Regions from separate parts of the Mus musculus genome. Here all the other regions are reported to be linked to region 1. The links are microRNA targets in miRTarBase. Many come from high-throughput screens and were not tested one by one. Region 1 holds a microRNA gene; each other region holds the end of a gene's coding sequence.

The links. The annotated mature microRNA mmu-miR-133b-3p reads UUUGGUCCCCUUCAACCAGCUA and lies in region 1 at 2,009-2,030, shown strand. An mRNA with a match to its seed (bases 2 to 7 or 8) in the 3' UTR can be bound and repressed. Matches are read on the target gene's strand: a 7mer-m8 pairs with bases 2 to 8, a 7mer-A1 pairs with bases 2 to 7 and ends in A, and an 8mer does both.
Region 2: the mRNA of Acer1 is a reported target of mmu-miR-133b-3p. Seed matches in the 3' UTR shown: 7mer-A1 at 1,854-1,860.
Region 3: miRTarBase lists Gdf3 as a target of mmu-miR-133b-3p. Seed matches in the 3' UTR shown: 8mer at 2,500-2,507.
Region 4: miRTarBase lists Foxl2 as a target of mmu-miR-133b-3p. Seed matches in the 3' UTR shown: 8mer at 1,609-1,616.

What each region holds. Positions count from the first base shown.
Region 1 is chr1:20,680,826-20,683,983 of GRCm38, forward strand. Mir133b (microRNA 133b) reads left to right here and starts at 1,944; the gene lies at 1,944-2,062. Lincmd1 (long intergenic non-protein coding RNA of muscle differentiation 1) reads left to right here. Exons shown (of 3, transcript NR_131249.1): 3 at 1,888-2,133.
Region 2 is chr17:56,952,589-56,955,746 of GRCm38, reverse strand. Acer1 (alkaline ceramidase 1) reads left to right here. Exons shown (of 6, transcript NM_175731.4): 5 at 114-251; 6 at 500-2,257. The coding sequence ends at 668. Among named protein-coding and RNA genes, the nearest start is that of Mllt1, 19 kb to the right of the region's middle.
Region 3 is chr6:122,603,489-122,606,646 of GRCm38, forward strand. Gdf3 (growth differentiation factor 3) reads right to left here. Exons shown (of 2, transcript NM_008108.5): 2 at 1,915-3,158. The coding sequence ends at 2,818. Among named protein-coding and RNA genes, the nearest start is that of Apobec1, 2.6 kb to the left of the region's middle.
Region 4 is chr9:98,956,408-98,959,565 of GRCm38, forward strand. It overlaps Foxl2 (forkhead box L2), which reads left to right. Exons shown (of 1, transcript NM_012020.2): 1 at 1-1,719. The coding sequence ends at 381. Among named protein-coding and RNA genes, the nearest start is that of Foxl2, 2.4 kb to the left of the region's middle.

The DNA.
Region 1 (3,158 bases):
CTAATTTCTCTCATCACAACATTCATACATGATAGGTGTGCCTTTATCCAGTTGCCTTTTCTGCAGTGCCCTGTTGGGTGCTTTAAAGTATGAGGTACCTTGATGATTCGAGACAGGCCTCTCTAACTAGAGTCCATCTGGAAGAAGCCAGGCACCTGGCTACCTCACTTCTAAACGTGTCCAGTGGATTTTAACACATTCACAGATAAGTATAAATTCTTGTTGATGAGTGATGGGGCACACTCTCTAGGCAAGATGGAGTTAAAAGTGAAGTTTTGGCCTCAGAGGCAGGCATAATTGCCCCTCAGACTCTCCTACAAGCCTTGCTAGTCTCCTCTGTGTACCCTAGGAACTTAGAACACCCTTCATTACTATCAAAATTCACAAGAGGCAAACTAGGCATGTTTTCCACAGTATAGACAAACATGCTGACCTGTCAAGATGCTACTTAACACCTCAATACCAAACATCATTATATGATATTTCTCAGTATCAAATTCTCAATATCAAATAAATAATTAATAAATAGATAAATAATAAATAAATAAATAAATAAATAAATAAATAAATAAATAAAATCAAGAATGCATCAGTGGATTTTGAACCCAGAAAATTTCAGGATGGTTTTGTTTGTTTTATTTTGTTTTGTTTTTAGAGACAGACTTTCTCTGTGTAGTGTTGGCTGTCCTGGAACTCACTCTGTAGAACAGGCTGGCCTCAAACTCAAAGATCCATCTGCTTCTGCTTCCCAAGTGCTGGAATTTTAGGTGTGTGCCACCACTGCCTGGCCATACTTTCTTCTCAATGACTTCTATTTATCAAGAAGAAGAAAACATGTTAGCCAGTAACTAGCCCCAAAGGAGAAAGTTGGTTTTCTGCAAGCACTCAACTATCTTTTCGGCCTACATCTTTCCTCTCCTTATGCCAATACCTTATGGAGATAGCAAGCCATATTTTCGGGGAGCCTTTCCTTCTTACCTACACTTGATCTCACTTTACTACTAACAAGCCGAAAGCAGAGGATACCCCTTCTATTCAATGGTTCTCAAACTTTAGATACCTCAGAATCACTGGGAAAGCAGGGTACATGAGTTTGGGGACCCCACTCCTGGGTATGTCAGGGTGGTAAATGTTACTTTTCGCTTAAAAGGTCAACTTGTAAGTTCTTACATACTGGAATCCAGACTTCTTCATGATCTACAAGAACCAAAAATGCCTCTGTTTCCCTCGATAGACTCTACTAAAGTCAGTTCCACCCATTCTTTCAAACCAAAGGACTGTGATAGCTATTACTGGGAGAAGGAATGAATATAATATATTTAAATAATAAAAAAACTGTCAAACAATGTAAATTAGTGAATTGTAGTTACCATATTCATATGAATGAGCCTTACAGATATCATGTAAGGTAAAATTAAAATGCCACAGATAAATATTTATAATATTAAAATATATTGATTCAGAACATGCATAAATGAGAAAAGCTATAAAGAAAAACATCTAAATTACAAGAAAACAAGAAACTCAGTATCATAGTTACTGTATATTCCCCACCCACTTATATTTCATTTTTAATGCAAACATGATACATTCATAGAGGGTTATATAATGTACATTTACATATGCATACAAATATACTTGACAATGTTAAGGTTATTTTAGAATATAAAAGAAAAGAGTGTCTATTTTTTCCATATTCTATAACTGTATTCCATTTTCGTGCCTAATGTTCCAATTTGAAAAAAAAATAAGAGCTAAATAAAATAAATAAATAAAAACTAAAAAGCATACGACTTTGTGAGATTTCTTTCAAGCTCTGTGAGAGGTTAGTCAGGATAATGTTCTCTTTGGGGTTGATTCATGCTAATGTGGTTCTCTCTGTTACAGGCTTGGACAAGTGGTGCTCAAACTCCAAGGACTTCACAAGCTTCAGGCTGCAGTCACCTCCAAAGGGAGTGGCCCCCTGCTCTGGCTGGTCAAACGGAACCAAGTCCGTCTTCCTGAGAGGTTTGGTCCCCTTCAACCAGCTACAGCAGGGCTGGCAAAGCTCAATATTTGGAGAAAGAGAAGAGAAGAGAAAATAGCTGCTACAGCCTTGCTTATGAAAAGTAATGCTGGTTTTGCCATCATAGCCTTATGTTCCCAAGAAGGAAGAAGAAAGGAGAAAGCCCAAGTTCACAGGTCACATGCTCAACACACAGAATCCTCTGCCACACACACACCTTCTAAATCACCCACATTTAGAGCCATGCACACATCTTCCATGCACACCCACTAATGATGCTAAGGATGGAACTTGAGCCAACCTTAGACCAGTCAGTGGCAGAATATGATACATAGGAGACAGGTCTTCTGCTCACAAGGACACAGAAGCATAAGTAAGGCCACTGACCATGGAAACACAACACAGTACAATGGAAATGCAGTCGAGAACATGCTTAATCCAAGATATAATTCATATATATATATATATATGTGTGTGTGTGTGTGTGTGTGTGTGTGTGTGTGTGTGTGTGTATGGATGCTTGCATATATATATATACATATATATATATATACATATATAAGTATCTATGAATATGGATGTATATGAGTATATATAGTTGACTGAGTTCGCCGTGACATTCTACATCATTTTCCATGAAGCTGAGAACTTTATGTACACTGAGACTAAAGTACACAGAAAGAGGTTGCCTAGCTCCCAGTGGCTGATACCAGTAATTAAGGTAAAACCTTGGCTTCCTGTTTGAATCCTACCCATCTTGTCGATTAGCTATGATGTGCGCTCAGTCAAATAGCCTCAGTTACCTCCGTAAAAACATTAGTTGCTTCTTCACCAGTAAATGGAAAGAGTGACCTGGATCACACTATTGTTCTAAGATTTTGAGAGGACAATGTCTGTAAATAACCAGCCATAATCACTCAGAGAATGTGTGTTTTGCTGTATGACAATGATGGTGTCATGCCCAGAGGCATGGCTCCCAGAGAAGGAAAAACAAATTTTAAAAGATAATATTTCCAAAATAAATTTTACATTAATTTTGGTATACTTATATTCCCACTATTGATTCTACTAGCATGCAGCATACATTCATCCTAGTGTGTACTGTTCGTATGTAATGCTTTTTGCTAAAAATTGCTTCACGTGTGAGATTCTA
Region 2 (3,158 bases), not on the chromosome of region 1:
CCAACCCATCTACCTACCCACCATCCAACCATCAATCCACCTGTCCATCTGTCTGTCTGTCCATCCAGCAGCTCACCACCCACCCCCAGCCCAGGCTCTCTCTTTGTCCCCAGGATTAGGGATGATGATCTTCGGCATCTGATTGCGGTTTCTGTGGTCTTATGGGCCGCTGCACTGACCAGCTGGATCAGTGACCGTGTACTTTGCAGCTTCTGGCAGCGGATTCACTTCTACTACCTGCACAGCATTTGGTAAAATACCCCTCTTGGATCCCAAGAACCCAAGTCAGAGTTCAGATGCACTCCAAGTAGAGAAGTGTCTGGGGTGCAAGAGTGGGAGAGGGACAAGATCCAGACCCTGGGATATAGAGGTGGTAGGGAGAGGTTACAACTGGCTGCCTGGATCTAAAGAGCCAAGTTAGCATCTGTGAGAACCTAAGAAGACTGGGTAGAGCTGGGGGCATCTCTCGATTTCTTACCCTGCCCTCTCTTAACCACAGGCACGTCCTCATAAGCATCACATTTCCTTATGGTATCGTGACCATGGCCCTGGTGGATGCAAAGTATGAGATGCCAGATAAAACCCTCAAAGTCCACTACTGGCCCCGGGACAGCTGGGTCATCGGGCTACCCTATGTGGAGATCCAGGAGAATGACAAGAACTGCTGAGCTCTGCTGTAGTCTCTGCTCTCTGGCCAGCCACCGAGTCTCCTGTGTACTGAGGATACAGGGCAGGACAAGGCTTTCAGTGGGCACACTTGCAGCACCCATCCCCCGGCCCATGCTCCTTGCCCTGCTCGTCAGCACAGGGTAGATTTACTTGTGGCTCAGGGTACTAGTTTGGTGACTGAGGGACAGGGGCTGCCTGGTGTGTGGGATGACTGGCCTGTGTCCACCTATGAGACCACAGCTTCTTCATGGCCACGGATGTGGTGAACAGATGGGTGTGTGGCTGATACAGCACCTGCCTGAAGCATAATGCTTGCTCTCTGTCAGCTCGCACATCTGGGACTGTTTATGAGTGTTATAGATTCAACTGGATCATGACTGTATTCTGGGAAACTGGGGAGTATCCAAAGAACATTCCAGGCCCCACCACCTACAGATAGATATTCGTATAGAGACCTCTTTGAACCACCACATGCACTCAGGGCAAAGTGTTGAACATGAGAGCCATGAATGAGGATAATAGAGGGCTAACCTGGGCAACATCATGGGGCACTTAGAGGATAGGGTATTGGGGAAAGGGTCTCCGTGATGGCTAAGGACACAGAGTTAGACATGCCAAAGCTTGATTTTCTGCTCCACAGTATTCAGCTTGCATAGCCCTGAGGGATGTGATGTTTCAAATGCTGTTTGTAAATAAAATGTCATTCCCTCCTGGGACTTCTGTTGATTAAAATTAGGTCACGTGTGAAGTATTTGGAATAGCCTTGAAAATATCCACCCACCCACTTATCAACCATTCACCATTTTAACAACCTATCCATCAACCCACCCATCCATTCATCCACCTGTCCATCCATCCATTCACCCGTCCATCCATCCATCCATCCATCCATCCATCCATCCATCCATCCACCCACCTTCTCTCCCTCTCTCTTTCCCCTCCTTCTTCCATCTACCTCCCTCCTTATATCCATCCATTCATTCCACCTCCCCCTTAATCCACCTACACAAATTAAAATTGCAAGTGTGGGTTGCTCAGATGGCTCTGATGGCTTGCAGTTCAATATGATGACCTGAATCTGAACCCCAGAATTTGCATGAGAAAGAGAATAGAAGGCAACTCCTACACATTGTCTTCTGACCTGCACACACATGCAGTAGCACACACAGTGTGGCAGGTGCATAGACCAAAGTTTGTTTGTTTGGTTGGTTGGTTTTGGTTTTTCGAGACAGGGTTTCTCTGTATAGCTCTGGCTGTCCTGGAACTCACTTTGTAGACCAGGCTGGCCTTGAACTCAGAAATCTGCCTGCCTCTGCCTCTCAAGTGCTGGGATTAAAGGCGTGTGCCACCACGCTCGGCAGACAAAGGTTTTTAACATGTAAAAAAATGCAAGTAAGGAGCTGGAGGCTCAGCAATTAAGAGCACTGGCAGCTCTTGTAGAGGACCCAGGTTTGAGTCCCAGAACTCATGTGGCAGTCCCAGGAGATCCAACCTCCTCTCCTGGCATCTATGGGTCCTCACAGACATGGTTCTCAGATACACATTCAGGCAAACATTCACATACATAAAATAAAATAACCCACAAATGAAGTATCCTGATCTTATTTTCAGTTCACTCCTCCTTACAAGATGCCACTCTCTTTGCCTGACAGCAGACATAGAGTCCCCTACCCACCCTCTGGCAGTGGTGACAGATGCTAACTGCACGAGCACTCAGAGACATTGATATATGGTCCGAAGAAGACATTGTTGGAAGGGCTAGTGTACAGGGTGACATAGGGGAGAAGCTTCCCTCGAAAATGGCAAGATGGGTGTGCCCTTCTTGGAAACAGTGAGTCCTCCAGTTCCTTGGCTGCATGGGACAACGGAAGAAAGACAGGCTAGCTGTCGCTGCCTGGGGCGGGATCTGAAGCAACAGGGAAGGGGTTTCACAGCTTGTCCGGGAAAGGAGGACACGAGGCAGTAGGTGTCTCTGTTCCAAGTTTAAAGACAGGGCGTTTCTGTTTAGCCCAGGCTGTCCCAGACCTCTCAGTCTTCCAGCCTCAACTTCCTGGGTACTGAGGTGACAAGCATGCTTTACCTTGCCTGGCCACTCACAGGTGGGTAGCATTCTACATCTCCATGTGATTGTGACATGTGTCACAATTTGTCTGGGCATGTCATCTAGCCCCCTGCATGAAGCACTTCAAACACACAAGAATACTTTCCTATCATAGATAAGGCTCAGAGGAGGTAAATGATTTACCCAAGAACACACAGCCTGGGCTTTGCGTCAGACCTATCCTTCCTGAGAGCTCTTTGGACCCCTTGAGGGGGGTGGAACCTGGGCCTCCTAGGTCCCTTCTGTCTATTTTCTTTCTTTCTTTCTTTCTTTCTTTCTTTCTTTCTTTCTTTCTTTCTTTCTCTCTTTCCTTCTTTCTTTCTTTCAAGATTTATTTATTTATTCTATATGAGTACACCTTAGCTGTCATTAGACACACCAAAAGAGG
Region 3 (3,158 bases), not on the chromosome of region 1:
GCCTCTGCCTCCTGAGTGCTGGGATTAAAGGTGTGGGCCACCACACCAATATCCTTTCAACAAGGTTTTTACTATTTTTCTCTTCTTTTCTTCTTTTTTTCTCCTACTTTTTGAGACAAGATTTCTTTATGTGGCTCTGGCTGTCTATAACTCTCTATATAGACCACGCTAGCCTCAACTCAGAGTTCCACCTGCCTCTGCCTCCTGAGTGCTGGGATTAAAGGTGTGGGCCACCCCACCAATATCCTTTCAACAAGGTTTTTACTATTTTTCTCTCCTCTTCTTTTCTTTTCTTTTCTTCTTCTTTTCTCCTACTTTTTGAGACAAGATTTCTTTATGTGGCTCTGGCTGTCTATAACTCTCTATATAGACCACGCTAGCCTCAACTCAGAGTTCCACCTACCTCTGTCTCCCAAGTGCTGGGATTACAGATGTATAAAAAGAATGATTTTTGAACTAGGCGATAGTGGTGCACGCCTTTAATCCCAGCACATGGGAGGCAGAAGCAGGCGGATCTCTGAGTTCAAGACCAGCATAGCCTACTGAGAGAATTCCAGGATGGCCAGGACTACACAGAAACCCTGTCTCACATAAACAAAAAGTCCAGATGTGTGTGTGTGTGTGTGTGTGTGTGTGTGTGTGTGTGTGTACAGAAGAGAGTGTAGGACCCCTCAGAACCAAAGTGAGAGGTGTTTGCAGAACACCAGGCTTGTTACATAGTTGCTGGGTTCTGAACTCCAGTGCACAAAATTTAGCCACAGTCACCTCTTACCTGCTGAGCCTTCTCTCCAGCCTCCCTTTTAATAACTTTTATAGAAAGGTCCTGCTTTGCTTTACTATTGCTGTGTCAAACAAACAAACACAGCCTGGAGAAGAAAGGACTTCTTTCATCTTACACCCCAGAGAACAATTCATCACTGAGAGAAGTCAGAGCAGAAACTTAAAAGAGGAACAGGAAGCAGAAACTGAAGGGGAGAGACCATGGAGAAATGCTGAATACTGGCTTTTCCCTCATGGTTTGCTCAACCTGCTTTTCTTTCTTCTTTTCTTCCTTATTTTATTTATTTATTTATTTTATTTTTAGGTGTGTGTGTGTGTGTGTGTGTGAGATTTACTGGCACTAGAGTACATGGGAGCTGGGAACTGAACTCTGGTTTTCTGCAAGAGCAGCGCATGCTCTTAACTACTGAGCCATCTCTCTAGCCTCTCAGCTTTCTTCTTATACACCCCAGGTCCACCTGCTCAGGGGTAGCACTGCCCAGAGTGGGCTGGGCCCTCTCACATCAATCAACCATCAATAAGATGTCCTCAGACATAACCCGAATGCCGGTCTGATCAAGGCAATTCCCCATTGAGTCTCCCTGAGATAATAACTCTGGGCTGTGCCAAGCTGTCAGCTCTAGCTAATTAGAAGAAGAAAGAATTGGGCTGGAAAGACAGCTCAGTGGTTAAGAGCAATGGCTGCTCTCCCAGGGTCAGGTTCCAGCATCCACCTGGCAGCTCACAACTGTCTATAACTCCTGTTCCAAGGGATTTGACACCCTGTACAGACATATATACAGTCAAAACACCAATGCACATAAAATAGAATTATTTCTATATATAATTTTATAATACATATATTTATATATATAAATTATTTTTTAAAAAATAGGGGGCTGGAGAGATGGCTCAGAGGTTAAAAGCACTGACTGCTCTTCCAGAGGTCCTTAGTTCAATTCCCAGCAACCACATGGTAGGTTACAACCATCTATAATGGGATCTGATGCCCTCTTCTGGTGTGTCTGAAGACAGCTACAGTGTACTTATATACAAAAAATAAATAAATAATTCCTTTAAAAAAAGGATAGGAAAGTATCAAACACGTGTACACATAATCCAATATCTATTCAAACACCTTAACAAAATCTTGCTGTAATAATTCAGTTGAAGTAAATTTATTAAGAAAACCCCAGGAAGCCAGACGGTGGTGGCGCACACCTTTAATCCCAGCACTTGGGAGGCAGAGGCAGGCAGATTTCTGAGTTCGAGGCCAGCCTGGTCTACGGAGTGAGTTCCAGGACTGCCAGGATTACACAGAAAAAAGAACTGGCTCAGCAGTAAGAGCGCTGCCTGCTCTTGTGCAGGACCCACTTGAGCATCCACATGGAGGAGACGCATGATCACCTGTAACTTCAGGGGATCTGACTCCCTCTTCTGGCCGCCACGGGTTCCTGCATGTACACCGTGCACTTACACAAGCACCCACACATAAAACAAACAAGTGAACATTTTTAAAGCTCACGTAAATTTTTCTATGTTATATTTTCTCAAAATAATTTTAAAATCTTAAGATATACAATTGGATATAATATGGTACAGGGCAGGCCTTTAATTCTAGGATTCAGGAAGCAGAGGCAGTTTGATCTCTTGTGCGTTTGAGGTTAGCCTGGTCTACATAGTTATAGGACAGCCTGGTATAGAGACCATGTTTCCTGTTTCAAAAAAAAAAATTTTTTTTTTGGTCCTGGTGGCACACAGCTGTAATCCCAGCACACAGGAGGTAGAGGAAAGAGAATTGCCATGAGTTCAAGGCCAGCAAAGATGTATAATAAGACCTTGTTTCAAACAAGAACAAGAAGCCCAGCTACTATGCATAATGAGCACAAATTAAGTAAGCTCACCAAGGGGTCCATAGTCATACACAAATGTGTGTAATTGTGGGGCTCATGAACCATGATGACAGACATGTCCGATTCAAGAGAGCATAAGCCAAAGGTGGGGTGGTAGTTTTATTAAAGGATTTACCCTAAGCACACTCCTAGCCTAGTCCCGAGACTACCCACACCCACACTCATCGACTACCATGTCTTCATAATGTCGGAGAATGACGTTCTTATCACTATCCTGATAGAGCATGGAGATGGGCGAGAGCTTGGTGGGGACACAGACAGCCTTGGGGACCTTGGGGTCAGCCATATGCATCAGAGCCTGCATGAAAGCATAATTGGAACTATTTAAATACGTGGTCATTGAGAAGGGGCACTCTCCATGACAGTAATTTGCCATGAACCCCTTAGGGGCGATGACCCACTTGTGCCAACCCAGGTCCTGGAAGTTGATGAACAGCTGATGACGGTGGCAGAAGTTCCTACAGAAACCCTTGGGGACAGAGATGG
Region 4 (3,158 bases), not on the chromosome of region 1:
TCCTACGGGCCGTACTCGCGCGTGCAGAGCATGGCGCTGCCTCCGGGCGTCGTGAACTCCTACAACGGCCTGGGGGGCCCTCCTGCCGCACCACCGCCGCCGCCACCGCCGCCGCACCCTCACCCGCACCCTCACGCACATCATCTGCACGCGGCCGCTGCGCCCCCGCCAGCCCCGCCACACCACGGGGCTGCCGCGCCTCCCCCGGGTCAGCTCAGTCCCGCCAGCCCGGCCACCGCCGCGCCCCCGGCACCCGCGCCCACGAGCGCGCCCGGCCTGCAGTTCGCCTGCGCCCGGCAACCCGAGCTCGCCATGATGCATTGCTCATACTGGGACCACGACAGCAAGACGGGCGCGCTGCACTCGCGTCTGGATCTCTGAGTGCCAACGCGCGCGGGAGCGGTCCCCCACCCCTATCCCGGGAGTGGAGGAGCCGAGCTCGGGTCGCAGCCGCAGCAGCCAGCCTGACAGCGCGCACTCCGGGACAGCTTCTGGATGCAGAGCCCTCGAGCGGTCTGCCCTTCCTCGGTCCGCCCCGCTCCTGCGACTCCGCTTTGTCGCCTCCGCTGCTCCTCCGGTGCTCTTCCCCGCCGCGGCCTCTGCTTTCCCGTGCTGCTGGCCGGAGGCCGCCCACTCCGTGCTTTCCGCGGGCCTCCTCTCCTCACCGCAGGGAGTGAGTCCCCGGCCGAGGTGCGGTCGAAGTGTCTGAGACGCAGCTTACCTCTTGGCCCTCTCTTCCAGGTCGGTGGACTCAAGCTCGATTTTATTTTTAATTCCCCACCCCGACTGTCTGCGACTAGAAGCGCTAGGCTGCTGGGGGAAGAGGGACCCACACTACCGGAGAATGGAAAGAACGTGTCTGGTCGCTCTGCGATCCCTCCTGGAACTGATCAGAAGCCGCTTGCAGAGGGGCCCACTGGGCGGGGCGGGGGTTGAGCCCCAGGCTGGAGCAGGGACAGCCTCGTTCCGCGGCCTGCAACCGAGTTCTCATCCCCCGCTCCTTGTGAGGCCGTGGTGCCTCCGCTCCGCAGAGCACCGCATAGGGCACCTCCAGGCCAGGTCTTTATGAAAAAGATTGGTGAGGCTTTTGAAAATATTAAAAAATACTTTTTAAAGAAAAAAAGAAAGAGGGAGAGAATAAAACATTCATGGGGGGGTGGGGAGGAGAAATGTAATGGCCTTGGAGTTTGCTAAAACCAAACAACAAAATCAAAAGTTTTGGTTTTCTTCATCGACCCTGCTGGGAAATTTGTGTAAGAATTCCCGTGGTGACTTCATTAGGCTGTGTTCAGAGGGAGGAGAAAATAACTAGCTAAAATAAGGTTTCCACTACAAATTAGGAATTTCTTTTCTATTTAAAAGTTGAACTCAAAACAAATTTCCCCGGATCTTCCGATTCTGCCCCGGATGCCAGAAGAGATCTCTGCCTGGCTGGTACACACCGCCCAGATGACACTCCTATCCCTGATTTTTGTTTTTCCAATGTCTTGTTTCTTCCACCTTCGGAAGGAGAAATGTGAAACTCGTCATGGCCGGCCCACACGGGCTTGTGGCCCCAGCCGGCTGGCCCGAAATCCCGTGACCTGGTGGTTGAGTAATGTCTTTCGGGGACCAAATTTTCTAGAGGGAACTAGAGCACTTTTGTTGTGTTTGTACGTGTGTGAGGGCGTCCCTTGTCAATTCCCAAATAAATTTTTTTGTTTTTTGTTTTTCTTTTAACACGGACTTGCATTGTTTCTTTTACACCGTAGTTCAGCAGCTAGCTAGCTAAGAGAGCGAGCCTTTCAAGAAAAATTGTGTTCTTTTAAAAAGTGACACAAACAAGAGTTGAGGACAACCCGGGTGGCAGGCGCTTTGGGCTGTCGCTGCTGCTTTGTTTTTCAGGAGATTGTTTGTTTTTCTGTGTCATCGTTTGTCTGTTGCGGCTGTTTCACACCGGCAAAGATACCCGGCCCTCGCTAGAGGCTACTGTAGGCAAGGTTTGTTCTCGTTTTGCGTTCGTGTAAGTTTATATTTTGCCTCTTACATAATTGTACTAGGTGCGTACGCTGTGTTTCCACTGCTATCCTCATACGTCTAAGAATTTTTTTGTCAAAAATATATGTAACATTTTTTAATATAAAATCCAGATTTCAGAAACACCTTGGAAGCTGCAAGCTTTTCTACAGTGTAATCGGTGATTTGTCGTACCGTTGTTTTTAGCAATTGGCATTCATTTATCTTGAAATAAGTGTAGGAAACTTGGTGTTTCAGGTGGGACTTAGTGTACAATATGCTACGGAGGTGGGCTTTTGCTTTCTCTTTACTGAGCTCCATCAAATAACGAATTAAGACCCATGCTCTCAAGAAGATACAAAAGGTGTTTGACCTGGTTGCAGATGAAATCTCTCTGGTTGACTAGAGGTGGCTGGCCTTCAGTTTTCCAATGGGGTGACAGATATTGGATCCGGCAGTGAGTGGCTGAGGGTTCGTGCAACAGGAGTTTAGATCCCATGCATAACCATGAATCTGTCACCTGCCTCTCTCTCTACCTGGATAAGAGACAGGTCCAGAGGAACGAGCTGGGAGAAGCTAAGAGCTTAAGGGTGTGAACCTATGGGTCCTCATTTCAGCTAACCGAAGGTCTAACCTTAGGAATGTCAGGGTGATATCTAGATTATAATGTTGCTGGGATCAAGGGAAGCCTGTTCGGCTCAGAATGCACTCTCCTTCCCCCCCCCCCCCCCCCGCAAAGATCTCAGAAGGAGGCTACAGTGTAGAGGAGGTGCTGTGGATTCCGGAAGGTAGAAACTTCAGCCCACCCACTGGGGGTCGGCTGAAAGGAGAATCTCGGTTGTGGTGGAAAGGGAGAATCCCTCAGGCAAGAAGGTGTTTCTGTAGCCTGGTGTTAAGTCTCAAATGTACGGATCAGATCACTGTAGTCTGTGCCTGGCGTGAGTGTTTCTAGTGTCTGTTATTTAATGGAGACAGGGTATAAGCTGTGTATCTGTCATTCACCTGCAGGGAGGATGGATGACATATATTTAGGATATTGTACTAGCTATATGACTAATATTAGGGGGTGCTTGCCAGAACCCAGTACTTGTTGCATTCATACCTCGTGCTGATCTAAACAGCTGTGCCCTGGGTGTGTGTTTCTGGCTTGCTGAAGGATAACA